7 linked regions of the Xenopus tropicalis genome follow. The protein of the gene in region 1 interacts with the protein of each later gene in a biochemical or structural test. Links are inferred from orthologs where the notes say so. Each region holds a gene or a part of one and is shown in the gene's direction. Other genes may lie near its edges. The genes, in order: cdc42, arhgap32, mcf2, arhgef7, cdc42ep3, bnip2 and wasl.

Evidence for each region.
Region 2: of the proteins of cdc42 (region 1) and arhgap32, one has a biochemical effect on the other in vitro, tested with the Homo sapiens proteins (3 studies listed by BioGRID). The link is inferred for Xenopus tropicalis from reciprocal best matches to the Homo sapiens genes CDC42 and ARHGAP32.
Region 3: the proteins of cdc42 (region 1) and mcf2 form a complex in vitro, tested with the Homo sapiens proteins (2 studies listed by BioGRID). The link is inferred for Xenopus tropicalis from reciprocal best matches to the Homo sapiens genes CDC42 and MCF2.
Region 4: the proteins of cdc42 (region 1) and arhgef7 form a complex in vitro, tested with the Homo sapiens proteins (2 studies listed by BioGRID). The link is inferred for Xenopus tropicalis from reciprocal best matches to the Homo sapiens genes CDC42 and ARHGEF7.
Region 5: the proteins of cdc42 (region 1) and cdc42ep3 form a complex in vitro, tested with the Homo sapiens proteins (2 studies listed by BioGRID). The link is inferred for Xenopus tropicalis from reciprocal best matches to the Homo sapiens genes CDC42 and CDC42EP3.
Region 6: the proteins of cdc42 (region 1) and bnip2 form a complex in vitro, tested with the Homo sapiens proteins (2 studies listed by BioGRID, with this or other methods). The link is inferred for Xenopus tropicalis from reciprocal best matches to the Homo sapiens genes CDC42 and BNIP2.
Region 7: the proteins of cdc42 (region 1) and wasl form a complex in vitro, tested with the Homo sapiens proteins (3 studies listed by BioGRID). The link is inferred for Xenopus tropicalis from reciprocal best matches to the Homo sapiens genes CDC42 and WASL.

The regions. Positions count from the first base shown.
Region 1 is NC_030683.2:94,425,887-94,429,386, reverse strand, and holds part of cdc42 (cell division control protein 42 homolog), read left to right. Parts: intron 1-534; coding exon 535-644; intron 645-724; coding exon 725-922; intron 923-3,500. UniProt on the Homo sapiens protein: Plasma membrane-associated small GTPase which cycles between an active GTP-bound and an inactive GDP-bound state. In active state binds to a variety of effector proteins to regulate cellular responses. Involved in epithelial cell polarization processes.
Region 2 is NC_030683.2:72,586,010-72,590,053, reverse strand, and holds the start of arhgap32 (rho GTPase-activating protein 32), read left to right. Parts: upstream 1-1,244; 5' UTR 1,245-2,623; coding exon 2,624-2,733; intron 2,734-4,044. UniProt on the Homo sapiens protein: GTPase-activating protein (GAP) promoting GTP hydrolysis on RHOA, CDC42 and RAC1 small GTPases. May be involved in the differentiation of neuronal cells during the formation of neurite extensions.
Region 3 is NC_030684.2:70,020,553-70,024,762, reverse strand, and holds the start of mcf2 (proto-oncogene DBL), read left to right. Parts: upstream 1-1,410; 5' UTR 1,411-1,595; coding exon 1,596-1,692; intron 1,693-4,210. UniProt on the Homo sapiens protein: Guanine nucleotide exchange factor (GEF) that modulates the Rho family of GTPases. Promotes the conversion of some member of the Rho family GTPase from the GDP-bound to the GTP-bound form. Isoform 1 exhibits no activity toward RHOA, RAC1 or CDC42.
Region 4 is NC_030678.2:116,995,143-116,999,270, reverse strand, and holds the start of arhgef7 (rho guanine nucleotide exchange factor 7), read left to right. Parts: upstream 1-1,328; 5' UTR 1,329-1,967; coding exon 1,968-2,132; intron 2,133-4,128. UniProt on the Homo sapiens protein: Acts as a RAC1 guanine nucleotide exchange factor (GEF) and can induce membrane ruffling. Functions in cell migration, attachment and cell spreading. Promotes targeting of RAC1 to focal adhesions. May function as a positive regulator of apoptosis.
Region 5 is NC_030681.2:42,316,922-42,319,918, forward strand, and holds the end of cdc42ep3 (cdc42 effector protein 3), read left to right. Parts: intron 1-713; 5' UTR 714-931; coding exon 932-1,696; 3' UTR 1,697-2,497; downstream 2,498-2,997.
Region 6 is NC_030679.2:96,408,857-96,412,356, forward strand, and holds part of bnip2 (BCL2/adenovirus E1B 19 kDa protein-interacting protein 2), read left to right. Parts: coding exon 1-21; intron 22-1,294; coding exon 1,295-1,397; intron 1,398-2,290; coding exon 2,291-2,422; intron 2,423-2,745; coding exon 2,746-2,832; intron 2,833-2,924; coding exon 2,925-3,023; intron 3,024-3,500.
Region 7 is NC_030679.2:70,363,222-70,367,246, reverse strand, and holds the start of wasl (neural Wiskott-Aldrich syndrome protein), read left to right. Parts: upstream 1-1,225; 5' UTR 1,226-1,334; coding exon 1,335-1,463; intron 1,464-4,025. UniProt on the Homo sapiens protein: Regulates actin polymerization by stimulating the actin-nucleating activity of the Arp2/3 complex. Involved in various processes, such as mitosis and cytokinesis, via its role in the regulation of actin polymerization.

The DNA.
Region 1 (3,500 bases):
CTGTCCAAGTGAAATATGGATTTTCTTTGTCCTGTCATTTTAGAATATGTCTGTTATTGTTGCCCATAATCTTATCACTGACCCTCTGTATGCTTTTCTAGTCAGTAGGTTTAATTTTGTGATTTTTACTTACATCTGCTTTTATGAAAATATAAGGCCCGTAGCACAAGTAACATTTCTCTTTTCGGAGGAAAAATGCCTGATAGCTTTATGTCGTTAAGATGGATGAAAACTGCCACCAGTGGTGACAGGTGGATTCTATTTACCTGAATGGCAGAGGCACAAATAGGTATTGATAGTTTTTCAGTTAGTTGACAAATGCTTACTGCAGTAGTGATAGGATGACGTTCCACTATATGGTGCTTAAAAAAGGTTGACTCCATGCTTACTACTAGACATGGTAACAAACTTTGGAACAATTTTCTTTAGTAAAATAAATCAGTCTATAACTAATGAACTCTTGTATGGCTAGGTTTAAATGGTGACAGTATTCAGCGTGCACTCTTTTTAACTAGTATTGCTCTCTTTCCACAGGACAGGAAGATTATGATAGATTACGACCTCTTAGCTATCCACAGACAGATGTGTTTCTAGTTTGTTTCTCCGTCGTGTCTCCATCTTCATTTGAAAATGTGAAAGAAAAGGTATTTTAAGTCATTTACTGTGATTATTCTTTTTACTATATTAAACTATCCTCAAACCAAAACTGTTTTTTTGTTTTCAGTGGGTACCTGAAATCACTCATCACTGTCCCAAAACTCCATTTCTGCTGGTTGGCACCCAGATAGATTTAAGAGATGATCCTTCAACAATTGAGAAACTGGCAAAAAACAAACAGAAACCAATCACTCCAGAGACAGCTGAGAAACTGGCCCGTGACTTAAAGGCAGTAAAATATGTGGAGTGTTCTGCACTTACGCAGGTGAGAAAACAGCAGCTATGTTGTAGAGCTTAATGCTCTCCAATGGTTATACTCTTAGACCTTCATTAACTTGTAGCTCTCAAGTAGATTGCATAATAGTTTAGATTTTGGACTAGTACAAATAGCTTGAAGGCTGATGCAGTATATTATAACTGTATGAGGAAGAAAAGGGTATTATGCCAAAAAAATAGAAATGTATTGAAATACAAATTCTGGTTCATATTATGGGATCAGCATCTACTTGATTGTTGTAGTAGAGTATTTTAAAACAGAAGATCAGAAAACACATTCCTTTTTTCTATATAAAATGTTATCATTTTGGAAAGTGCATTACAAATTTATGAAGACTGTAAATACACAATCAAACTGACTTTCCATGGAAGTATACAGGTATGGGACCTGCTATCCTGAACACTTGAGACCTGGAGTTTTCTGGGATCTTTCCATAATTTGGATCTCCATACCCTATCTACTAAAAATCATTTTAACATTAAATAAACCCAATAGGATTGTTTTGCCTCCTATAAGGATTAATTAGATCTTAGTTGGGAGCAAGTACAAGGTACTTATTACAGAGAAGAAGGAACATATTTAAAAAAAATTATTTAAAATGAAGTCTGCGGGACAAGCCCTTTCCTTAATTCAGAGTTTTCTGGATAATGTATACTATACCTGTATCTGAAAGGCAACCATTGTAAATAGATTTAGGAGAGTCCAGTTAGTACCTTTTGAAGTACCCTCTATCCATTTTTCATTTTATTTTTTGTTAACCCCTTTTTCTTTCCTACACTTCCTTTTCAAGGCATATATAGAACATGCTTGCTTTAAGACATTTTGTTGCCTCGTCTTAAAATATTATATTAACCTTGTTTCTTTAGAGCATGGGAGTTTTGTAGATTACTCTCATCAAGCCACCTACCCCATACAGGGCCAATACACCCAATTCAAGGAGTGTTCTCTTTAAAGAAACACTGTTGTTCCTGCTATTGCTGCAAGGTAATGTGCAGCCTAACAGCTTGGACTAACTCTTGTGCCTGCAGTAAACCTTCTGCTGTATTCAGGGGAATTTGCCCGATGTTTACATAACCTGCAGCCACTCAGTGCTTACATGAAAATAAAAGCTTTCTGCAGTTATGGTCTTCTACACAGTGGAATAGAACTTACTGGTCTCAACAGATTTAATTTACCACTCCTAAACTTTGTGAATAAGACAATTTGCCAGACTGTAGACTGCTTATCTTTCAGTTCCCCATGTATCCCCTCTGCCCTCAACTGCCTATAGTTATTCCCCTGCCTCTACATAAACCCAGTTGTCTTGGAAAATCCATTTCACTGGATTATTGCCTTGATATCGTATAGACCACTTGGCTTTCAACACAGACCTGCCAGATTATTTGGTTTACAGTGTTTTCCATTTTAGTAAAGTACATTTTTATTTTCGGTTTGCATTTCAGGTTTTTTTCTTTTTGTAATCACTTTTTTTCCTTTACTTTAAATTCTCAACTCAGCTGCAAGGGTTACGTAGAAGACTCAGTTTGGATCTGCCAACTGTATGCATGTTGTGTCTCTGTAAGGGCTCTGGCACATGGGGAGATTAGCCCACGACAAAACTCCCTGTTCGCGGGCGACTAATCTCCCCGAGTTGCCATGACCCGCCATCCCACCGGCGAACAGGTAAGTCGCTGGCGGGATGGCACGCGTGGCGGCGCGATTTCCCGAAATTGCCGAAAAAGACTCGCGAGGCTTTTTCGCTGGAGGGATGGCGGGTCATGGCAACTCGGGGAGATTAGTCGCCCGCAAACAGGGAGTTTTGTCGCGGGCGACTAATCTCCCTGTGTGCCAGAGCCCTAAAGCACTGTGGCACTATTTTAAGGATATTACTACTCGGAGCTAATTAACTGCACTTGGGGTGGCATCATGTACAGTATTTGGCATCATGACATCATGTACAATTTCTATTTCATGTAGGGTATAGCCATACACACACTTGTTCCATTTTGCAGCATGTTCCTTTTCAATCCGTTGGGTTATATACTTGGCTTGAACAGCTCCTAGGATAAATTTCTTTGTCTTGACATTTTTGCCCACACTTATAGTTTAAGCCTAGAATATAAATCCAGTTACTCAGCATTTAAAATGGCTTTCGACAATCCAACATTGTAATATGTAAGTGCCCCTGAACTTATCTTCTGCCTCAGAACATATTGCACCATTTCTTAAAGGTGTTCTGTCATGGCAAAACATGTTTCTTGTGCAACATGCAGGTAATAGTGCTCCTCCAGCAAAATCCTGCACTGAAAGAGCAAACCGCTTTTTTTTTTTATATTTAATTTTGAAATTTGATGTGGGGCTAGAAATGCATACTCTTAAGGTGGCCATACACGCACCGATATTATCGTACGAAACCTCGTTTCGTACGATAATCGGTGCGTGTATGGCATGTCAGCGAGCCGACCGATATCGCAGGAAGCTGCTGAAATCGGTCGGCTCGCCGATCGGCCAAGTTAGAAAATTTTGATCGGGCGCCATAGAAGGCGCCTGACCAAAATTCTCCCTTCAGAGCTGAATCGGCAGAAGG
Region 2 (4,044 bases), about 22 Mb from region 1:
TTCTATTAACTTGAAAATGTCATTGCTGCAGGGGAAAATAGGTTAAATAGTATTATAGACTAAATATAGGGATAATAGTTCCCAAGACATATAACAACAATTTATGTTTATGAATATACACCCACACACTGATATAAGTAATGCAAGCTGTGCTATTTTAAAAATTGTATTGTTTTTTTTATAACTTGCTTATATTATTTCTTGATACCTAAATTTAATTTTTAGTTGTACTTTACTAATCTCTGTATATATATTCCTGCATTTACAGCAGATGCAATTTTCTTCCAGGCAGTGTAGATATTTTCCTAAAATATAGTTAATAGCTAGTGTCTGCCATATTCAGTATGTAAAACACGTTCTGCACATTGTCTCCATGCTTTATTACCACCTTACACTGACAGAAATAAATGTACATTTCACTGAGCTGGTAAGTTTAATGCAAGTAAACCTCAGAATTGTGTTATGTCTCATTCCATGGAACCACTCACCCAAAAATGAAGTAACACTGCCGTGCCAGTATGCTTCTGCTCTGCCGCAAATTTGTGCCTAAGGCTTATCAGCACAAACCTTGGCCTGGTTTTAGAACATTATGCTGTAAACCAGTAAGGCAACAAATTAAGAGAAGTTCTGTATATTAAAGGCAGTGGCACATGGAGAGATTAGTCACCCCACGACTTCGCTGTCGCGGGCAACTAATCTTCCCACAATGCCATCCCACCGGCTAGAATGTAAATTGCCGGTGGGATGGCATATGCGCTGCTGCGATGTCCCGCAGTCGCTGGAAGTTGTCTTGAGAAAACTTCGGGGGACATCACAGATAGGTAGGTAGATAGATCTATTTGCCACAAACCTCTGCTTGTTTACAAAGACTTTTTCCTGTGTTTGCGTGCCATTCCCTGCATATATTGACAAAATAAGCAGACTCTGGTCTTTACTCATCTATGGATATAAAATGCATGCCTTCTGAGTAAAATACAGTAAGCAATTTTCTACCTTTATCTGTACATAACATTTGGTGCCATTCTAGACCCAGTTTAGATTATTTAACAGGCACTATACATTATACAAACAAATGTGCTAGTGCAAACCTGCTATTATGGGTTTTGCAAGTGGAAATAGGGGTCTTACAGCAGATTTTATTGTCACCTTTGGAGTGGATCAAATTTGAGGAAGGTTTTTATGAGCAAGCAAATTGTTAGGGTACATTCACAAATTAGGGGAAATTTTTTTTTTTTTTTTAAAGATGACATTTGCTACTATGCAAAAGAGGAACAACACGGAACACAATAAAACTTAGAATCAATAACTTGTTATTCCATTCACTGCTGATCCTTATATTCTGGTTACAAATATTGGGTGTTAAATTGCACAAGTATGGTCTACAAGGTAGAAAATAAAAACAAAGACCTGATTGGTTGCTAGTGGCAACTGCACACCTGAAATTTAGTATTTAAGTTTGTAAATCAGCCCAAAACCTGCTTCTTAGACAGCCATGTGTATTAGAATAAAACTTTGTGACAGGAATAGCACTCCCACCACACACAGGGCAGAGTTTGTCCTCAAACCTTGCATTTTCAGGCTGAAAAGTGACAGGCAGAAACACTAATCAAATAAAATTTTTGATTTTCTGCTTAATACTCCAGTGTATATATGTACACCTGTTTTATGAATTCTGTCGCCAGTGTAATTATTATTCTTCATTTATATAGCAGTAAAATGTTACTCATGGCTGTACAGCAGGTTAGACAAATCATGATCCACAAAGAAAGCCACAGAGAAATGCAAGATCTGAGTTATATGAAAGGGGTTAATTTAAAAGCTGTAAAACATCTGCCTGCCCAGACTTGTGCTGCTGATACACTCCTTGACTCATAGCCAGGACATTCTCCAAACTTGGTTAGAAATCCATCTTTATAACAGCTATGTGGAACACTATTAGTGTAGGGCACAAAGGCAGTATTCCAATTTTGCATCTTTCACCCCAAATCGTTTGCGCGGGAAATGCGTTATTTCTCTGCCCCCCAATCTATTGACAAGTTCCCAATAGGAACTGCAGTGAGACTGCTCTAAAGCGGAGATTCCCAGCGCTCCTGCAGCGTCATCCCCCTGCCTTCATGCCCATCATCAACCTGCACTGAGCAATCTGGGAGAATCCAGCGCCTTTGTGCGGGAGAATAGTGTGTGCGTGAGCAATAGCTCAATGAATCCTTTGAAGCTCACACAAGTTGAAATAAGAGAACAATATGCCCCGAGAAGCCAAGCCTTCCCCTCCTCCCTCCCTCTGACAGTGTCTTGTGGCTCTTCCCCTCCCTCTGCCTGCAAAGGAACAGCTGAAGGGCTTGTGGCCACCTCAGAAAGGAAACTCTGCAGTGTTAGAGCAGCCAGTCCAGCCATCTCCCAGCCTCGCCGATCCGTAATGGCCCCCGTGTTTGGCCAGTAACCAGGTACATAGGTGGGCAGGAATCATGGCTCCACATGGATAGTATATTCCACTTTGGCTCTTGGATGTATCTCTCTGCTTTTCAGCACAGCCTTGTACCTTCCCCTCTCTCCATTCAGTCTCCGTTCCCTGTCTTTACTGCGTTCTCTCTATCACAAGCGGCTCCTGCAGTGATCTTGCAGCATGGAGGGAGGGACCGACGCCGCTGCCTTCGCTGCTTTTCCCAGTATCCACGCAGTTCCTTCGACTTCTGGCAGGATGGCAACGGGGGGCAAGCTGGATGAATTAGAAAGGTCAGTAGTGACTGGGCACCTTGCCCTCTCCCCTATATCTGCGCTGCTAATAGCTGCTGTCTCTGCAGGCTTCCATTCAGCTTACTGACCCTGATCCCGCTTGTGCTTACTAGTGCAAAGGTGCAGGATCAATCACATTGCAGGCTGTGGCGTGTCCCTGCTGGGAGATGGTCTTTGGGAATTTGGTGACTGCGTGCTATTTTATTTGGTTCCGTGTAGGACGGGTGTAAGGCACAGAGTGCTAACGCTGAATGGTGGCTCCTTCGTGTTTACACAACACCTTTTTCACGAGCTGCGTGTTTATTATGTGTGGGAAGCTCGCACCTACAATATAACGCGTCACTTGGGCGAGAAGTCAAGGAGGTCACCGTACGCCTGGCTCAGTTATCGCCTCCCCCACCATTAACAGCAACATGGCTTACCCCGCATATCTTCCCCTATGTCTCAAGTGTTATTATGTATGAGGGTGCTTAACTGTTTGGGATGTATGGAGAGGATGTTTCTGAACTCATCCTGCCTTGGCCAGAAATGGGCAGTGGTGGGGGATTTTGCGTGAGTGCCGTACAGTGACCCCTAATTCTTTGCTTTGGGGTGATCTTACACCACTGCCTATAGTAAAAGGTGGAAGGTTTCTGAAGTAGATTTTGGTACATTGTAATATCTGGTAGCAGCTTTTCTCCTTTGTCCCAACAGTCTAGGCAGATGTCAAGGCAACAGTACATTACGTGTTGGGATTTGCAGTGGGCAGATGGTGTCTAGTGATATGTTGTGCAGCAGGGAGGCTTCATTGCCGCCTTGCTACCATTGTGTTTGGCCTAAGTATTTTTGGAAGATTTTTTTCTTTCTCCTTGTTGTAGGTGCATCAATTTATTTCTGATTGTATTAACTGCTTAATCTGCCCATATGTGCTATAAACTGTGGCAGCCACCTAATGAAGCAAATCATTTAGCACCCACGAATGGATTAGGAGGTATCCCTATTGCTTGCCTTTATGTTACAAATATAGATTGGAATGATTCAGTTGAAATGAAGTCGCTATTCATCAGGTGCTAGGTATGTTGTGACAAATGGGGGTTGATTTCTGAATTTGTTTCAAAATTAGTCTATTTTTGCTTGCTTGTCTAAATACATTCCCCTTTCATTAAATAAGTTTGCATACAGACTTTTCATGCTGTGAGTTGTCCATTTGATAATTAACATTACAAAAGGGTGCAAGTTCCAATAAATCTTGCTCGCCTTAATTTAAAGGTGATTTAAATCCAGCCTGTGAGTAGTACTGCAGCACATTCCTTTGGAGTGGGACGTATTCAC
Region 3 (4,210 bases), on another chromosome or scaffold:
GTGCCAGGGATACTATCCATTTCAGGGTAACTAGTTTGTGCCAGGGATGCTATCCATTTCAGGGTAACTAGTTTGTGCCAGGGATGCTATTCTTTACTGGGTAACTAGTTTGTGCCAGGGATGCTATCCATTTCAGGGTAACTAGTTTGTGCCAGAGATCCTATTCTTTGCTGAGTAACTAGTTTGTGCAGAGATCCTATTCTTTGCTGGGTAACTAGTTTGTGCCAGGGATACTATCCATTTCAGGGTAACTAGTTTGTGCCAGGGATTCATATCCATTTCAGGGTAACTAGTTTGTGCCAGAGATGCTATTCTTTGCTGGGTAACTAGTTTGTGCCAGAGATTCTATTCTTTACTGGGTAACTAGTTTGTGCCAGGGATGCTATTCTTTACTGGGTAACTAGTTTGTGCCAGGGATGCTATCCATTTCAGGGTAACTAGTTTGTGCCAGGGATGCTATCCATTTCAGGGTAACTAGTTTGTGCCAGGGATACTATCCATTTCAGGGTAACTAGTTTGTGCCAGGGATACTATCCATTTCAGGGTAACTAGTTTGTGCCAGAGATTCTATCCATTTCAGGATAACTAGTTTGTGCCAGGGGTTCATATCAATTTCAGGGTAACTAGTTTGTGCCAGAGATGCTATTCTTTGCTGGGTGACTAGTTTGTGCCAGGGATGCTATTCTTTAACTAGTTTGTGCCAGAGATTCTATTCTTTACTGGGTAACTAGTTTGTGCCAGGGATGCTATTCTTTACTGGGTAACTAGTTTGTGCCAGGGATGCTATTCTTTACTGGGTAACTAGTTTGTGCCAGAGATTCTATTCTTTACTCGGTAACAAGTTTGTGCCAGGGATGCTATTCTTTACTGGGTAACTAGTTTGTGCCAGGGATGCTATCCATTTCAGGGTAACTCATTTGTGCCAGGGATGCTATCCATTTCAGGGTAACTAGTTTGTGCCAGGGATACTATCCATTTCAGGGTAACTAGTTTGTGCCAGAGATCCTATTCTTTGCTGGGTAACTAGTTTGTGCCAGAGATCCTATTCTTTGCTGGGTAACTAGTTTGTGCCAGGGATCCTATTCTTTGTTGGGTAACTAGTTTGTGCCAGAGATCCTATTATTTGCTGGGTAACTAGTTTGTGCCAGGGATCCTATTCTTTGTTGGGTAACTAGTTTGTGCCAGAGATCCTATTATTTTCTGGGTAACTAGTTTGTGCCAGGGATCCTATCCATTACATGTGTATCAGGGATCATATCGGTTGCAGGGTAACTAGTTTGTGCCAGGATTTTTCTCATATTTCAGGGTAAGTAGTTAGTACGAGTTGGGACATAAGCCACAAGTGTGAGTGGGCGGTGCCTACTGAAAGCTTATTCCGCCCACTGAGCCCACATCTCCCATTCACAGAAGCCCAGAGCCAGTGTAGCGTTTAGCCTCCAGTTGGCAGCTGGGTGCCCTGCCGTGGGTGATCGCCTTCTCTCATCTCTTGGCTGGGGCTTGGGGTGACCCTTTGCTGCGGCACAACATATGGGCGGCCCGGCTCTGACTCCCCGCTGCCTCCTGCTGTGTGCGATCTGTCCAGTGACCCAGCCATCATGGCATCCCCGGATACTTTCAGGATCTCTGCGGTGGAAATGGAGAAGTACTATAGCCTGCAGCAGGCTGCTGCCCTCCTGGACACTGCCCTGGAAAGTAAGTGCTGTCTCCTACTTCCCTGCCTTTTCCCAGCACAGACTATTGGTGTCCCCTGCAGTATCCTCCGAGCAAATCGCATTGTTTTTCCATATAGAACTGCAATGCTGCATTCACACTGCTGTGAGCTTCTCTGCTCTCCTCCTCAGCACCCACAGCACCCACAGCTGTCCCTCCCCACCAAAGTTACTCAGCACCCTGCTCTCTCCACTCAACTTGCCAGTTACCACCCTGCGCACTCAGCGGACCCCCATTCTAACTTACAGTAAACTGCTGCTTTGGGCAGTACCTATCCTGTGACTGGGTGAAAATGCAATAGGATCATGTTCTTTCTGTAGTCTGTAATATTGCTAGCAGATTTTCAAAATCCGTGTCAGGCTATATGCGGGTTTATTGCTGCAAATAATTCTTTATGTGCTTAATTTCTGATTTCCTGAACTGCTTTCTGGAAATCTGTGATTCCAACAGTTATTGGGTTTCTAAAACAATAACATTCAGTAGCTGGTTGTAAGGGAGGGAAAATAAGGGGTTAACAGATGAAAAAAGTCATGATATGACATGTGTAGAGAAAAGGAAGGAGTTAATTAGACAGCAAGGAATTGGCAGTGTGGGGAAATGAGGAGGGTATAGAGAAGGGGAGGAGGTGGTTTAAGGGAGTAAAAAAGGGGTTAAATAGAGTGTCAAAAGGGGTTAATAGGTACATGAAGGGAGAGAGACAAGAAATTGTAAAAATTTGGGAGGAGGACTCCATCATTATGATTGCAGGCGAATCTTTAACAGTCCTCCCCTCCTTTGTGTGATATATATATAACATAGTAATATGTAATTGTACTTTACAGTTCCCATATCAATTAAATGTGTGAAGTAATTAGCTAGATTATAGTTATTGTGAAGCTCTCCAAAAAAGAAACTTCCTGTGGTGTGAGTATCGCCAATGCTAGTGCTTAGTAGGGTATTTTAAGGCTGTTCTGGAGGCCTGCTAGTGTGGATGTGGCCCTCTACATCCACAAGGAGGTTTTTGGCCCCCAGTTTGCCCAAGGGCTATGTCTCTATAGAGCTCTCTGTATGACATCATGATTTGAATCTAATCTGGCGCTGGTGCAGAATGACAAACAAACATCCCACTGCAGGTTAAAGAGATACTGACATTAGAATTTTTTTTTACTACTATCATAACATTGGCTTTGCATGCTATCTATAATTTTGTCTTAAAATATTTGCACCATACTTCTATATTATCTATCTGATCCCCATGTTCCTCTATGAGGGGCAGCCATATTTATGCTGCAGGAGTCGGTTAGCATTAGAAGCTATAACTGACAGTCAGGTTGGCAAAACAGTCAGGTTTAGGAACATCAAGTAACAATTACTTACAAAAGCAGCCCTATCAGTGAAAAATGATCAACATGACCTATAGGGAACTTTTAATGTACAGTAATATTTTCAAGAGTAGTTTTTGTGTCACTAGTGCTGGGCCATATAATGTCTCCCTAGCAATGTCTGAAGTTATATGTTTGTCCATGCTGAATACAGAGAACAATTGCTGCCTCTTAAGGTGCCCATACACAGGCCAATTCTAGCTGCCAATATCGGTCCTTTAGACAGATTTGGCAGCTTATCTGCCCGTGTATGGGCACAAATGAAGGCCCATACGCAGGGTTCAAATTTTCTGTCGATTCGAATCGATGGTGCCTATACCTGCCATTCTAATTCACAGAAGGTCAAAACTGCCTGCCCGGTTTTCCCAATTCAGAAAACCAGGCAGGATTCTCCAAGATTGGTGCATCAGTTGGCCAGTCTCCCCACCTTCCTGCATGGAGTTTCCGTGCAGGAGAGGCGGCTACACTAATTGGGCTGTTTGAGCCCCTATGTACTTAAATGCCAGGCAGGGGCGGGCCCTAGGCAACTTGGTCGGCCACCAAGCCCCCCCTCCCGTGTGCTTGTCATTAGCGGTGGGGGCAATGACTAAGAAAAAGGACTAGGCAGGAGAGGATCCTGCCTGGTGCCCCCTAATCGATGCGCCCTAGGCAGCTGCCTCTTCTGCCTACCCCCCGTTTTGGCCCTGATGCCAGGGCCCATTTTTAATCCCATTCCAGGCTTGGGGACACCAAATAAAGTTGCTGGGCTTTGCTGATTTCATTCAGAGCAACCAGTGCAGCCAGCTTATTTTAATGTGTATGTATGAAGCATCCCTTTATCTGATCATAGGGCAGTGATCCCTAACAAGTGGCTCGGGAGCAACATGTTACTCACCATGTTACTCCGCAGTCTTCTGCGATATCGGTCACCTCGCCGACTTGCAATACACGCACCCAAAAGCTTTACTTGGCACCCCCAGGAACTGTTTGCATGCTTGTATTGCTCCCCCACTCTTTTTTACATTTAAATTCGGCTCACAGGTAAAAAGGGTTGGGGATCCATAGCATAGGGAAATGCCTAATTGCTTACCTTGACTCTGGAATCCTACATAAACATTTAGAAAATGGAATATGAAGTGCTTGTAAATATTGATCTGAAT
Region 4 (4,128 bases), on another chromosome or scaffold:
CACCCAAAAGGAGCAAGCAAAAATTGTATGCAAAAAAGTCACCCCATCCACAGTGCAGCACATCTAATTTAGAAATCCTTTCCAGCTTTGTCTATGCAAAGCCAATAATCAATTGCAATCTGATATACCCTAGATTATTTTTATTAAAGGCCTCCCAATCTGTCACTTGCTGTTGCCATGGCAACAGAAAGCTCAGGAGACCACAATCACAACATATGTGGCCTAAGCTCAGGAGAGCTAATTTATTATCCATGTAGTTAACCTTGAATGCAACAGCCACTAGGTCCCATCAAGACTTGTAATGTACAACCAACACAATGTATGCTGTAAATTCAATGTGTACAGCTTTAACCTACAGTACAATCATGAATAGGAATCATCAATCTAAAGGAAAATCCAGTTTACAGCTTTTTTGGTACATATTCCATATGCAAATGAATACAGACAGCAAGAAACTGGGAAAAGAACAAGTTGATTATTTAGCATATCAGCATTTTAAAGCTGGAATTATGAACCATTTATTGGTTATGTAGAGAAGAGTGTTTCAAGCTGGCTATACACTGAAAGATCTGCTCATTTGGCAAGGCTGCAGAATCCCTGATATGCCTACCTTGAGGTGGCCAGTTTTGGATGACTGGATCACATTTCTGGTATGGAGGCTGCAGGGACAAGGGATAAGGACCACATCAACCCAACAATGCACACCTCATCGTGTTTGGATTTTTAAACCTGCCTGATCCACATCTGGCCGATCTTTGGATATATATATCGGTCATGCAGGCCCATCTGAGAGCCCCATACAAGGGCCAATAAGCTGCCGACTCCACCTCTGCGCTCATCCATTATTAGTATATATATATAGGACATTAAGACATTCTGTGCATTAAGATACTAAAAATGCCCTCCCCTTTCTTGCCCTTGACTTGCCTGAGGTGGCTCCTCCAATGCCGCCCCACTCGTGCTTACCTTTACAGTGCTGGAGGGGGTTCAGGGGGAACTGCATTGCTAGCGTAGAGTGCAAACTCTTTATGCCGCCACTGGTACTTTGTCTGTGCTGCTGCCTGAGGTGAGTTTCTCAACTGGCCTTATGGTAGCAGCGTCCCTGTCTTTTGTCCATATATTGCAATATTTTTAAGCTGGCCAACTATGTTGAAGTCAACCTTGGTCTGGCCAGTCCTACACTCACTTTCATCTGATTCCTTCACAATTCTACTATTCATTATACATTTTTGATAGGGTCACAAGTTTTACCTGCAACTAGCTCACTTTCAAGGTTAAAACTCCCAGATGGTTGCCCTTTTAATGGCCATCACAGGGGTCACATGACTGTAGCTGGGAAGGGTGAAAAGGTGGCACAAACCACTCAAGTTACAGCTGTCAAATACCATATATGTTTATATTATACCCCGCCCCCCCCTCACTCAAGCAGAGGATGAGAAAGGAATGTATTTGTGTGTGACATGTTCCACTGCACACACTGTCAGGCTGGCCTTTGTCTGTAACATGTGGAATGGCAGGTACAAGCCCTGGGGATGCTCTGGTTCATGCAGTGCCGGAGATCTCTTGGCTGAGCACTGATTCTCCTGAAGAAGAGAGTGGCGACACTGCAGGCTCCGTGTGCAATCAAAAGCCACTTGACAGGCTGCCAGAGCGCCCAGCACAGAGCGGGGAAGAGGGGGGCAGCGAGGGAAGACAGGAATAGGAGGAGGAGGAGGAGGGGGACGGGGGAGCGGACCTGCTGCATTTCCTACAGCAGCGAGGCGTCATCATCTGCATCTGCCCGGGGAAGGAGGGATCAGCAGCAGCAGCAGCCTGGGTTTCATGTCCACCTACAAGGGGAGCAAAGCAGCAGCAGCCAGTTCCATCTACAAAGGGGGGAAGGGGCTGGATTTGAGGGATACTGCATTGGCTGCCCCTGCCCCCCTCGCTCTTGCAGTCTCTGGCTTTACGTGTCTGGCTGCCGAGCCATGAATTCTGCAGAGCAAACCGTAACATGGCTTATAACTCTCGGGGTGCTGGAGTCGCCCAAGAAAACCATCTCCGATCCGGAGGGCTTCCTGCAAACGTCCCTGAAGGACGGGGTGGTCCTGTGCCGGCTGCTGGAGAGGCTTCTGCCTGGCTCCATAGACAAGGTAAAGCCCCTGGCTGCCACTTGTGTTTGCTGTGACCGTGTGCCCACTTCTTTCTTCTTCTGCCCTCCAGGAGCTGGGCAAGCACTGCTGCAAGTTGTTTGCTTAGGGAGCTGGGCAAGCACTGCTGCAAGTTGTTTGCTTAGGGCACATTGCTCTCAGCAGGGGTTAACTGCAGCAGCATCCCAACCCCCATCAAGTAGGGCGGTGTGACCGACAGCTGGGGGAGGAGGGGATACCCTGTACAAAAACACAAGGAGGGGAGGCGGTGGCATTGCACTGGGGGGGGCAAAAATTGTTTGGGTCTTCCATGCTGACTTCAAGCTCCAAAGGAAGGGTCTACCTATCTCTCTATGTGTGTCTCTATCTGTGTAGTCCATCAACCATTAATCACCTCTTCTGATACTATCTCAGCTTTATAGTGTAGACAGGTATAGCCAGACACTACAGATAATCTATACCCATTGACCAAATATAAAAGCCAACATGGGAGCCTGCGTCCATTTAGTAACATAGTAAGTTGGCAGCCCATCCATTACCAAGCAAACATTATTTATAGCTTTTTAGGCAATACAAAATGAGGCCCTATGTATGCTAACAAGAGAAGAATTTTTTCCAGACTTACTGTTCAAGGACCTGATTTAAATAAATATTTCCCTATATGGTCTGTTTGGGTATTGCTTGTATTGCATAGGTGGCACTGAGGAGGGGGGTGCCATTGCACTCTAAGGTGTCACATGCTACTTGGCAGCTGATGCATATGACAGTTTCTCCTAGCTCTTTGTCAGAGTAGGATCTTCACAGTAGAAGGCTCCTCTTCAGCTTCTATTGGCTAAGACCTAAGCTTTCAACCAATAAGAAATCAGTGGATGTCTAAAGTCAATTCTGTGTCACTGAGTTATTGGCATTAAACCAAAGACTAAACTTCTTTGTTACTTTTTGGTATCTGTTGATATTTTGATAGAAAATTGCTATGCTTGTAAATGTTACTATTGTGTGTGTGCAGAGATAGGCCAGGGAAACACTTATATGCAAATCTTTTATGAATGATTTTATTTATGATTTTATGAATGCTACAATGCTAGTTTATTTCACTGAAGTGGAGAATATGAATGGTTCGTCAGACTGGGAAATCATTGGTTTTCCTGGTCAAGAAGTTGATTTTTTGCTTTGAAAAAAAACTCTTTGAATTTAAAGGGGATCTCCTCCTAAAAACTACTTTTTGCATAATGACAGAAAATTTAATTATAAACAACTTTCCAATATACATTGATTACAAATTTTCAGTTGAAAAATGTTAAAGTTGAAGCTGCATTTGTTTTTACCTTCCTGTTTTCTGTCTGCTGAAACAGTGTAGCAGAAGTTAGTTCTCCTCCAGGTCTGTTAATCAGCTTTCTTCTGTTGCATTGTATCAGAAGTCAGAACCAGTAGTGTACAGAATATAGACAGATACCAGACAGATAGTGCTACAAATAAATTTTAATGCATTGAAATGTTTTAATTAATGTATATTGGAAAATTGCAAAGAATAATATTGTCTTAAATTACAAATAAACAGTGTTTGTGAGAAGATCACCTACAATACTGTGTCATGTAATATATATTTTATGCCAGTAAGAACACTGTATAAATGGCCAGTGAGCACTCTATTAACCCCATATAACCTGTAAGATCATTGCAGAAATGAACAATGAAAGCTCCAAAAACATCACTGTAGAAGTGACTAATGAGCACTTCATGAGCACTTCTTACTGCCAGTAAGATAATTGCCGAAATGGCCAGTGACCACTCCATCTACCCCAGATATGCCAGTGAAATCATTGCATAAATCGTCAATGAGCACTCAGTTAACCCCAGATGTCCCAGTAAGATCATTGCGGAAGGCCAATGAGCACTGTATTAAAACCAGATATACCAGTAATAACATTGCAGAAATGGGCAATAAGCAGACTTCCCAGTAAGATTATTGCAGAATGGCGAATGAGCAAAGTATTAACCC
Region 5 (2,997 bases), on another chromosome or scaffold:
TTAGATTTGGTTTGTTATCCTGCTGAATCTATGAAGAATTTGGTATTCACCTGGATACCAGATGCTCTACAATACTGGCTAGGAAAGGGTTAAATTATGATTTATTATGGAGTAGCTGAGTCTGTGCTTTAGTTGCGGGACTTAATGTCATTTCTGAGATTTCTGGATAAATGTTTTCTAATTAATAAATCCCATGCCTGTGCTATGATTTACTCTATCATATTAATGAATACTTTAATCTAGACCACCAGATAAATGTCTCCTTGTTGATAACAGTATAAATACTTTCAGTGTAAAAGGAAAATAAATGAAAACTGAGACCTGACTTATTTTTGTTGTTGTAATGTATTTTCCTTGTAATACACCGCCTGTGCAATTTTCCTTGTTGATATTAACAGTGCCCAGCTCTTATTAATATCTGTGAAGCATTAAGGAGACCAAAAAAAAATAATGTCTTAGACATTGCCAATAAAAATGTGCTCAGTGAGTTGTAAATAAGGGGCACAGGCATAAAAATATAGGAAAGTCACAGAAAGGCCACAGTGGCCTTGTGAATCTGGTCACTTTTATGCTGTTTAATGGAGGGAAACCACATCACAAAGCGAATCTGTAGACTGGAACTGTCAGCACCATAACTGATTGTTGTGTGAAAACAAGAATGAATGAGCCATGAAAAAACTGGTTAATGATAACTTGCTTTCTTTCCTCTCCAGGTTTGCGGAAAGAAGCGAAACTTTATGGATGTGCTGCCTGCAGACGAAGTACGAGCTTGCACTTGCCACTAAGTGAGTTTCAGCCAACGTGTTGGGAGAAGTTTTTCTGCGTGACTTTAAGAGCAAACCAGAGGCTGGGATAGTAAAGTGAATGATGTAATCTAACAGAGATATAAAGCTGATTTTATTCAACATCTACACGTTTAATACCTTTCAAGATGCCAGCGAAGACACCCATTTATCTTAAAACTGCCAACAGCAAAAAGGGGAAAAAATTCAAACTAAGGGATATATTGTCCCCTGACCTGATCAGCCCACCTTTAGGGGATTTCCGTCACACAATACACATTGGGAAAGATGGGCAACATGATGTGTTTGGTGACATTTCTTTCCTTCAAGGAAATTTTGAGTTGTTGCCTGGCAACCAAGGGAAACCCAGAAACGGACATTATCATGGACACGGTGAATTTCTGAGGGCAAACAGCACGTGTGAGTCTGTGTTTTCTGAGACATCCTCGCCTGTACTTAAAAATGCAATTTCTCTCCCTACAATTGGAGGATCGCAGGCCTTGGTTCTGCCTTTATTATCCACAGTGACTTTCAACTCTAAAAGGGATTCCTTTAGCCCTTCAAGGTTACCCCGGCTGAGCTGTGAGCCTGTGCTAGAGGAAAAACTACTTGAGCAGAGCCAACCATATGAAAATGGACACCAGTTTGATCATGAGTGGAAAGTAAGCAATTCAGCTTCGTGTTCTACAAATGGAAGGTCAAGCCATTCTTCCAGCCTCTCAGAACCATATAATGACTGGCAAGCTAGTGACTTGTTTGAAGATAGCCATATTGCATGTGAAATAGAGAGCCCAGACATGAAGCCAGAAGAGCCTCTTTCTGACCTGGCAAGTTCACTCCTCACCCTCCAACTTGACCTTGGCCCATCTTTGTTGGATGAGGTGCTTCATGTAATGGACAAAGGCAAGGCTTAGACAATCAGGCCTTCCACACCTTACAGACATGGTACATATATAAAGTCTGTTACCCATAGATTTGAATAATTCAAATATTTTATTGTTTACATATCTGCACCGCCGTATTTCTTTCATCATCAGTATATATACTAAAGATTTCCTTTTCAATCTTGGTATTTGTGAGACACTTTAGATACTTGTCTACTCTTTCATAGTTTTTTTTTATGTACGGAAAGAATGAACTCTGAAGAAGAAATGTATAGTAATATATTCCTTTGTTTGCAAGAAGGGAAGAGAATGTAGACAGATAAATATATAGACCCATGGTCCTCTCACTGTTGTTGAATTACAGCACTAAGTATCATTACTTATACATTACGTGTGCCATATCATCAGCTTCTGCTGCATGCATCAGAAAGTCTTTGGATGGACCAGGAATCACCATGCTGCCATGTTACAGCTCACAGAGTTTGCCTGGAGCCCCATAGACTTTATGTCCTGGTCCCAGTATATATATTTTAGCCATTAAAGTTCTGCTACGCAGCACATAACTAAATTATTTTCATTTAAATATCCTTTATGTGCCTTTGTATTTTTACAACAAAGCTTGTATTTTATAGATATCCCATCACCATTTTTTTATCGCTTTCACATTTTTCATCGCAGGTTCAATGTATATTTTTGTGACAGTTTGAGAAAATATGTATTATACTTTTTTTCTTATCTATGTCCTACAGATGTATGAGGCAATATATGTTTCATATGTAAGCAAAGCACTGGTTTCTCATATTGTTAAATAAAATAATTGATGCTAAAGCATCTGCTTCAACAGGTTTGTTTTCCTACTAGTATTTATGGGTTTGTGCAAGAAGAAGAGGAATGAAACAATCTTTCTTGCATTCAGGAAGTACAAGTGTGGATTATATAGAATATTTGGGAGCTGGAGTTTTCTTAATGTGGAACACTAGGCCACTAGAAACATAGGAATACTATACCTCTAGAATCAATACTTAAATAATAGTTTACATCAAATATTGCCTTTTTACATCTTTTCCCTTGAGCCACCATTTAGTGATGGGCTGTGTGCTCCCTCTGAGACCACCTGACAGGAAATAATGCAGCTGTAACTGCATTTTGGGAGCAAAAGACATAACTTTGCCCATTAATTGGCTGATGTAAAATGGCAATTTTCTATTTAGAATAACTCAATTGCAAGTATATTTTTATGAAAATGTTTTATTTAGCTGAAGCAGGCTTTAACATATGAGCTGTTATGTTTATAGAGACCTACATTGTTCAGGGGTATAGTATGTGCGTTG
Region 6 (3,500 bases), on another chromosome or scaffold:
AAAAAGTTATTAGCCATGGAGGTAAGAAGAGGTACTTACATGTAATCTTCTGCTCACAATAAAACCATGCACTCATTTTATATTATTATTATTTAAATAGTAATTTCAGTATTACCTTTGCGGCAATGCACTGAGAAACATGTGTGATTTTAGTGTGAGGGCTACACTTTGGATCTATACAAAGTATGTAATGAGATCTCTAATGCATAATCATTGCTGGTAGTTAGTGCAATGGCAAATAAATAGCACGCTCTGCCTCCTGGGAAGGAGGTGGATCGCAAAATAGCAGCACAAGCTTCAAATTGATATTAGGTTAAAAAAAAAGGAGACTAACTATATAAATTACCACTTTTTTTACTTTACATCATTGACCTGTGAGTGCAGTTTTATATGATTAGAAGATGTTGTATTATTTGATAGATAGATAGATAGATAGATAGATAGAAAAGCCCAGAATACTCTGTTAATTATATCTTTATAAATTGTACCTAGTAATGGGATCAATTATAATGACTTATAAAGGACAATGAAAGGTTAATATAAATTAAAAGTAAGTCTAAAGGCATTCTTTTTAAGTACTTACTGCATATCCAAATTCCCAGATCCCTGCTTGCTTCTCTGAGATATGGTGCTGGCAGCCTACAGCCTACAGCCAGCGGCAGCCTTCCCATTCTCTGAGCATGTGTGTAACTTGATCCTGTCTCCTGTTCTGAGCTACACATGCCCACCAGCCAATCAGAAGTGGATCTGGCAGAGGGGAGGGGGGGAGGGAATGAAACACGTGCAGTATGAAGCAAGGAGGGAAAGGAAGGGAGAATACCTTTTTAGAGATGGCTGCCTGTTCTAGAAAATGTGAAGTAAGTGTGACTGAGTAAATATTTGATTAGGTGAGCCAAAAGTGTGGTGTTTTTACTAAACAATAGGAGGACTATTGGGCAGTATGCTTTTTAAATTTTGACTTGCATTCTCCTTTAATGTCAAAGTGTTGTATTTTCACTTGACTCATTGAAACTTGTGTATTATAATAAATAATGCACCCCTTGTGCTAAAATATGCGTATATTAGAAGTCACCTCAAAGTTCCATGACCTGTATAAGAGCATTTCAGCCTTGTGCTATATGGTCATGGAAAAATAAGGGGGTACATTATTCAATATATAATCCACAAATGTGGTCTGCTCCCTCTGTAGTTATGCCTCTGCACAAACATATTTTATTACACAAATGAAAAGATCTAGAAAATGAAAAACCTGTGTTTCTCTTCCACTGACTTATTATAATTATTTTCATTAAAGGTTATTATGGAGATGGATTAAATGCAATTATAGTGTTTGCTGTGTGCTTTATGCCTGATAGTGGTCAACCTAATTATCGCTACCTAATGGACAATCTATTTAAGTGAGTATTGCATTCTGTATTTATTATCTATATCAGTACGATTGTATATAAAGAATTATATACTAAATACTTTATATTTCACTAGCCATGTGTAGCCTGTAGAATATGTCCTTGGAAACTGTTTAGTGATGTTGTTAGTTATTGGTGCTGCTCTTTGGTGTCAGTTGTGTTACTTGAAGCACCTGGGCTCTACTAACACTGAACAGCTGTTGCTTTTCATTAGTCCAATGTTGGTAAAAAAAAATAAAAAAGCCAGTGTCATAAAAACAAATATACCCCTCATTTAAATTATATGCATATTAGAAGGCACCTCAAAGTTCCATAGGGCATGCAAAGCACTCGGCCTGCAGCATCTTGTCTTTGAAGCCCCTCAGTAACATTGAATATACTTATATTAAGTAAGGGGGTCATAATTTACCACACAGATTAGAAACAGAAGGTGATTAATGAAGTCTTGGTCCTTTTGTGTAATACTGCCCACGTGTGGTTGTCCAAACTGCACATATTGGGCAGAATGATGAGACCACTAAGAAATGGTGGCCCCATCTTGTTCCTGGTGACCCCATAAATGGCATTGGGGCTCATATTAGCAGACCAAAATTTTGTATTCTTATTTTTTTGTAATCATCTCTATTGCAGCCACATTGCTTTGCAGCTGTTAGACTAACTTGGTTGTGGATCCACACAGAGAATTTGGTGCTTGGTAGTTTGTGACCAACTTTATTCCTTTTTGCTACGCTTCATTCATTCTGTTCCCCATTTTATTTAGGTGATTGTTAGTACTATGCAACCAGCTTTTTACCCCTTTTTTTTTTGCTGTGTCTTTTTGATTTTGTTCCCAGTTTTGTATTTTTATTTTTCAATAATAATAAGTATCTCTGCTTATTCATCAGGTATGTTATTGGCACTTTGGAAATGTTAGTTGCAGAAAACTACATGATAGTTTATTTAAATGGAGCCACAACGCGGAGGAAAATGCCTAGCCTAGGATGGCTTAGGAAATGCTATCAACAAATTGATAGGAGGTATGTCTAAAGCATCAAATAAATTGGGGGCTACAGTTACAGATGTAAGTTGAATTATGTATTTGAATGCTAATGCATTCAGGTCAATCTGTTGTTAGGGAAGCACAGAAACCAGAATACAGTTTGGAATTCACAGAATCCCAGAAGTTTTTTTTAAAGATTAGGATTTGCCTAAAGCCTGAGCAATCAAGTATGTGACTTAACTGCACTGAACAAAGATGCACAAATGTGCACTCTACTGGTCAACGGTTATATATATTTTTCAATTTTGCTAGACTTATTTTCATGTGGCCTAATCAAATGCTTGTCTTTCTTTATAAAAGGTTACGGAAAAATCTCAAGTCTTTGATCATAGTACACCCTTCCTGGTTTATCAGAACACTTCTAGCTATCACAAAGCCCTTCATTAGGTAATAGAAATGAAATCTGATCTTCTATATTTAATTATTATATTACTACAGTAGCTACCATAATAACCATTGTTGTTTTATTTTGTTTTTAGCTCAAAATTCAGCCAGAAAATTAAATATGTCTTTAGCTTGGTTGAATTAGCAGAACTTATTCCTATGGAGTACGTCAGCATACCGGAATGCATAAAAGAGTATGTAATGTTCTTTGTTTATTTCATTTGTCATTGTGTAGTTAGAAACTTAGTTTGAGACAGTTATATGATAATATATGGTTTAATATTAGAAAGGCAAACAGCTCTGTGCTACATTGATTGCTATAAGTGTGATATTTCTTTTCCTGCTGCCAAATTGCCTTTAACATAAATAATTGGGTACAAGGAATAACCAAGATTCTAATTGTTTGTCCTATAAAACATATTTGATTACTTGTTTTTAACCATTACTGTATGGTTTATAAACTGCAATATCAAATAATACTGATATTAGGAAGTTTTGTCACTAAATTATATGCAAATCTTTAAGGCAATGTGCACAAAATGTATAATGGATACCGAAGGACACAATAAAAAGGAATTACTAAGAATTTAGAAAATAAAGTAAAGTTCAAAGAGATATAATTTGCTCATATACATTGCAATTTACTATTGACATATATCTATACTGATTGT
Region 7 (4,025 bases), on another chromosome or scaffold:
AATGTATGTAAAGCTTTTGTTTTTGGTCAGGTTAAGCATTGGTTTGCTTCCTATTACTTAGTCCAATCTGCCAAGTCTATGGAAGGGACACTTTCGAAAATCGAGTAAGATGGAGGAGCAGCACTGCTTAAGAAAGTTTCCTAAAGTGGTGTATTTTTTTCTGAAAAGCAGCACCAAGGGGTAAAAATCATGCTTGATCCCCATGTTATTATTAGGGAAGAAAGATAAATACATGAGAAGGGTTATCATTTTTTCCAGAACAGATGGCACCAATACCCCTGCAGCAACTACTACCTGTTTGCTAGGGTAAATTGAACCCTACAAACCAGATAGCTTCTGAAATTCCAAACTGGAGAGCTGCTCAACAAAAAACTAAATAATTCAAAAACTGCAAAAAAAAAAAACAAAAAACAAACTAAGACTTATTGCAAATTGTCTAAGAATAGCACTGAGTAAAGGTAAACGTTAATTTTAAAGTGAATTACACAGACACACAGAGCTACTTAGTAGCAGCTACTTGTCAGGGCTACTAAATGGCATAAAATACCCCGCCTTAGACAATACAGAGAATTGCCTCTGCTAAAACACAAGTAGAGACAATTATCAGTAATGGTCAGCACTGTCTAGTTTTGTAGCAGTGACAAGTAGCTGCTTCTAGTAGCTCTGTGTGTCTTCACCCTCTAAAATTCCGCAGGTGCGAGCATGTGAGTGCCAAGGGATAAAAATATAAACATATAAGGAAAATAAATAGAAGCTACTTTATTAATAAAATGTATCTGTCAGGGGAAGAAGGAACACTAGGTAGATGGACAAGGGGAATGGAGGAAATACGAATTGGCTGCTATATTTGTTCCTATAGACAAGCAGTTAGACAGTAAGACGTTACATTATGCAAGTCAATTAATGTAAGAAGAGTAAAACTATTGGTTAACTAGAGTCAGCCCTGTTCCACATTATTCCGCATCTGAACAGCAGAACAGAACTGCATTGCCTACACTGCAGAGTAAACATTCTCCCATGATGTCTTGCGGCTCCGCACGGCCTCCGAAGCCTGGCGGAAGCTTTGTAAGGGCTAAATAATGATAATTGCGAAGGCCTCCGCACACGCATGCGCCGAGCACTTCCTAGTTTACTGTAAGGGCGCGCAGTGCTTTACGGGGCCGAGCACCTCCTGCACAGGCAGTAGCAGCGCCAGCCTGGTCATCCGGATCCTCCCACAACACGACGACAAGCGGCCGGGATATGAAGCGGCCCTGATCCTGCGCTGAGGGGCGATACTGACTTATAGAATCTCTGCAGGGACCGAAGGGAGAGATTCCCTGCCAACACTAATCATGAGTAACAATATCGGCCCTAATAATAACAACAACAGGCAGACCAAAAGGGTGACAAACAGCGGCTCCATACTGCTCACCGCGCAGGAAAATGAAAGTCTCTTTAGTTACCTGGGCAAGAAGTGTGTGGTGAGTGCGGCCCGGTTGTCTTTTATTCAAATGGGGGCAGTTCGCCAGTTGTTTTAGGACTACAACTCCCACCCCTAGTAGGCTGATTGGTACAGGGAATTGTAGTTTAGCAGCTGGAGGGCCGCAGGGTGCCAAGTCTTATTTTATGTTTCCTTGTATGCTGGGCAAGGGTGGCTACTGCCCTCCGTGTCTAAACCTCCTGGGCTGCTTTTTATTCTAGGATATTTTTCTAACCTGTAGTACTCCGGTTGTCCAGCTGCTACTTTTACCCCCCAGCAGTCAGTGGCTGCCGAATGATGGTCATTTTATTTAACAGGTTGAAAGTGGCAGCTTGCTGGTTTGGTATATACCAGGCATAGGGCAACTCGGCTAATATATTTCTGCCCTATTTCCATTGGCTGTACACAGTGCTTGGGGTGCCATTACTAACCAAGGTATTGCCCTTTCTTTAGCTAAAGCCCTTCCTGCTTGTTGAACTATTACCTTAGAGTTACTGATAACCACAATTATGGTTTGGTTTGAATTCCTCAGTAGCCAGATATACATATAACCTAATTGCCCTGCTGTTGACCAGCTATAACCAGCATTCTTAGCTAGCCAGACACAGGAAGTTATAACTACAACTACAGCAAAAGTTCCTAAATGTGTTAAAAGTGCTGTATTGTACAAGATACATTAGTGCGAATTTGCTGTTTTTTGATATTCTGCTATAGTATTGATGTGTGGTAATTACAGTAAATGACAATGAATGTTTGTTACTCTTTTGATATTTTTCTTGTTTGTATGTAGCATATTTTTGTGGTGCCCATTTAATCATTTAAAAATAAACAAATATATAGATACAGGTTCATTGACTACTGACTGAATTGACTTTAGTGTGTGAATATAATGTGAATGGTATAGAATTTTTTTTTATTTAAGACTCTATTAAGAATTTTTAAAACTCTGTACTAAGTACTATTAAACTCAGTTTTTATATAGTAATTAATGGCATTTTCTGTATATATCACTTTGCATCTCATATCCCCTTTTCGGTTCAGTTCGGTAGCTGTACTGAGCAGGTCCCTCTTTACCTCCTGTATCACTCAGTAATTGTTTCTAAATTTTGTATGTTTGATGTATGGCTGTTTATAGATGCTTGTTAATAATAAATAGTAATGATACATCTTTTATTGTCTTTGTCTTGCCCGATTGCTAAATATGGATGCATTCATATGGTACTGTAGGTTGCCCACAAAGGTTCTAGCACTGAATAAATGTTTGTTTAGTTGTATCAGAACTTTGTGTTTGTTGTGTTAGCCTTGGCAGCTGTATGGAAGTTAATACTACATGGAAATTTGTCTCAGAATAATCACAGTGAATCTCAGTTTTTTGGAAAGCACACTATACTGGTGAATCTCCCCCACATTGTACAATAGTGATAGCTTGACCGACATTTATTCATTCCATTTTCTCTGATAGAAGATAATGCTGGGACATTTTTACAGCAATGTTGTTGTGAAAAGTTATGGCACATTAAATGAATCCTTGGAGCTTTTTTTTTCATTATACTTATATTTTATTATATCTTTTAAAGATTTGCTTCCTAGTTTCTTTGACAGTATCTGATGCTGTAGTGCTGTTACTGTAGGAACAGAAAGCTAGCTTTCCATTGCTTAAAATGTTAGGCATCCCCAAGTGACTTTAATCACCTACCTTGTACCCTGGGCTGGTGCCCCTTTTAGGAGAAAACAGCCCGGGGTACCTGTAGCAAGCGCTTCCTGCTTCCTTTTCCGGCAAATGCCAGTGGTCGGCCCATGTGCAGTAGAGTGAAAAGCCGACTTTTCTGTTAAAGTTCGGCTTTTCGCTCTACTGCGCACGCGAAGCAGCAAGGAGGAAGCGCTGCAGCTACCCCAGGCTAGTGCTGTTCTCTCCGAACAGGGGCACCATCCCAGGGTACAAGGTAGGCGATTTAAGTCACTTGGGAGTGCCTAACATTTTGGCACCCCCAAGTGACTTTGCCTTTCGTTCTCCTTTAAAGAACTCATACACTCAGTATTCCTAGGTTGGCTTTGCTTTCAGAAGGATGCTGGATATTGTAGGTCCAAAGCAGCTGAAATTCAGAAGGATGCTTTTGATTGGTGGTATTGTTACCTGTCTGTTTTGTTCTTTTTAGCATTGTTTTACAGTTACCGTAAAGCAGTGATCCCCAACCAGTGGTTCAGGAGCAACATGTTGCACCCCCAAGCCCTTGGATATTGCTCCCAGTGGCCTCAAAGCAGGTGCTTATTTTTGAATTTCTGGCTTGGATGCAAGCTCTGGTTGCATAAAAACCAGTTGTACAGAGCCACATTTAGGCTGCCAGTCCACATAAAGACTACCAAACAGCTATTCACAGCCCTTATTTGGCACCCTCATGAACATTTTTTAATGCTTGTGTTGCTCCTCAACCCTTTTTACATTTGAGTGTGGCTCACGGGTAAAAAAAGGTAGGGTATCCCTGCCGTAAAGGCTTCTGCAGTCTTTCCTTCTTCACAAAATTTATATATGGTTCATTTCAGGCAGTGGTCACATTCCCCCTTA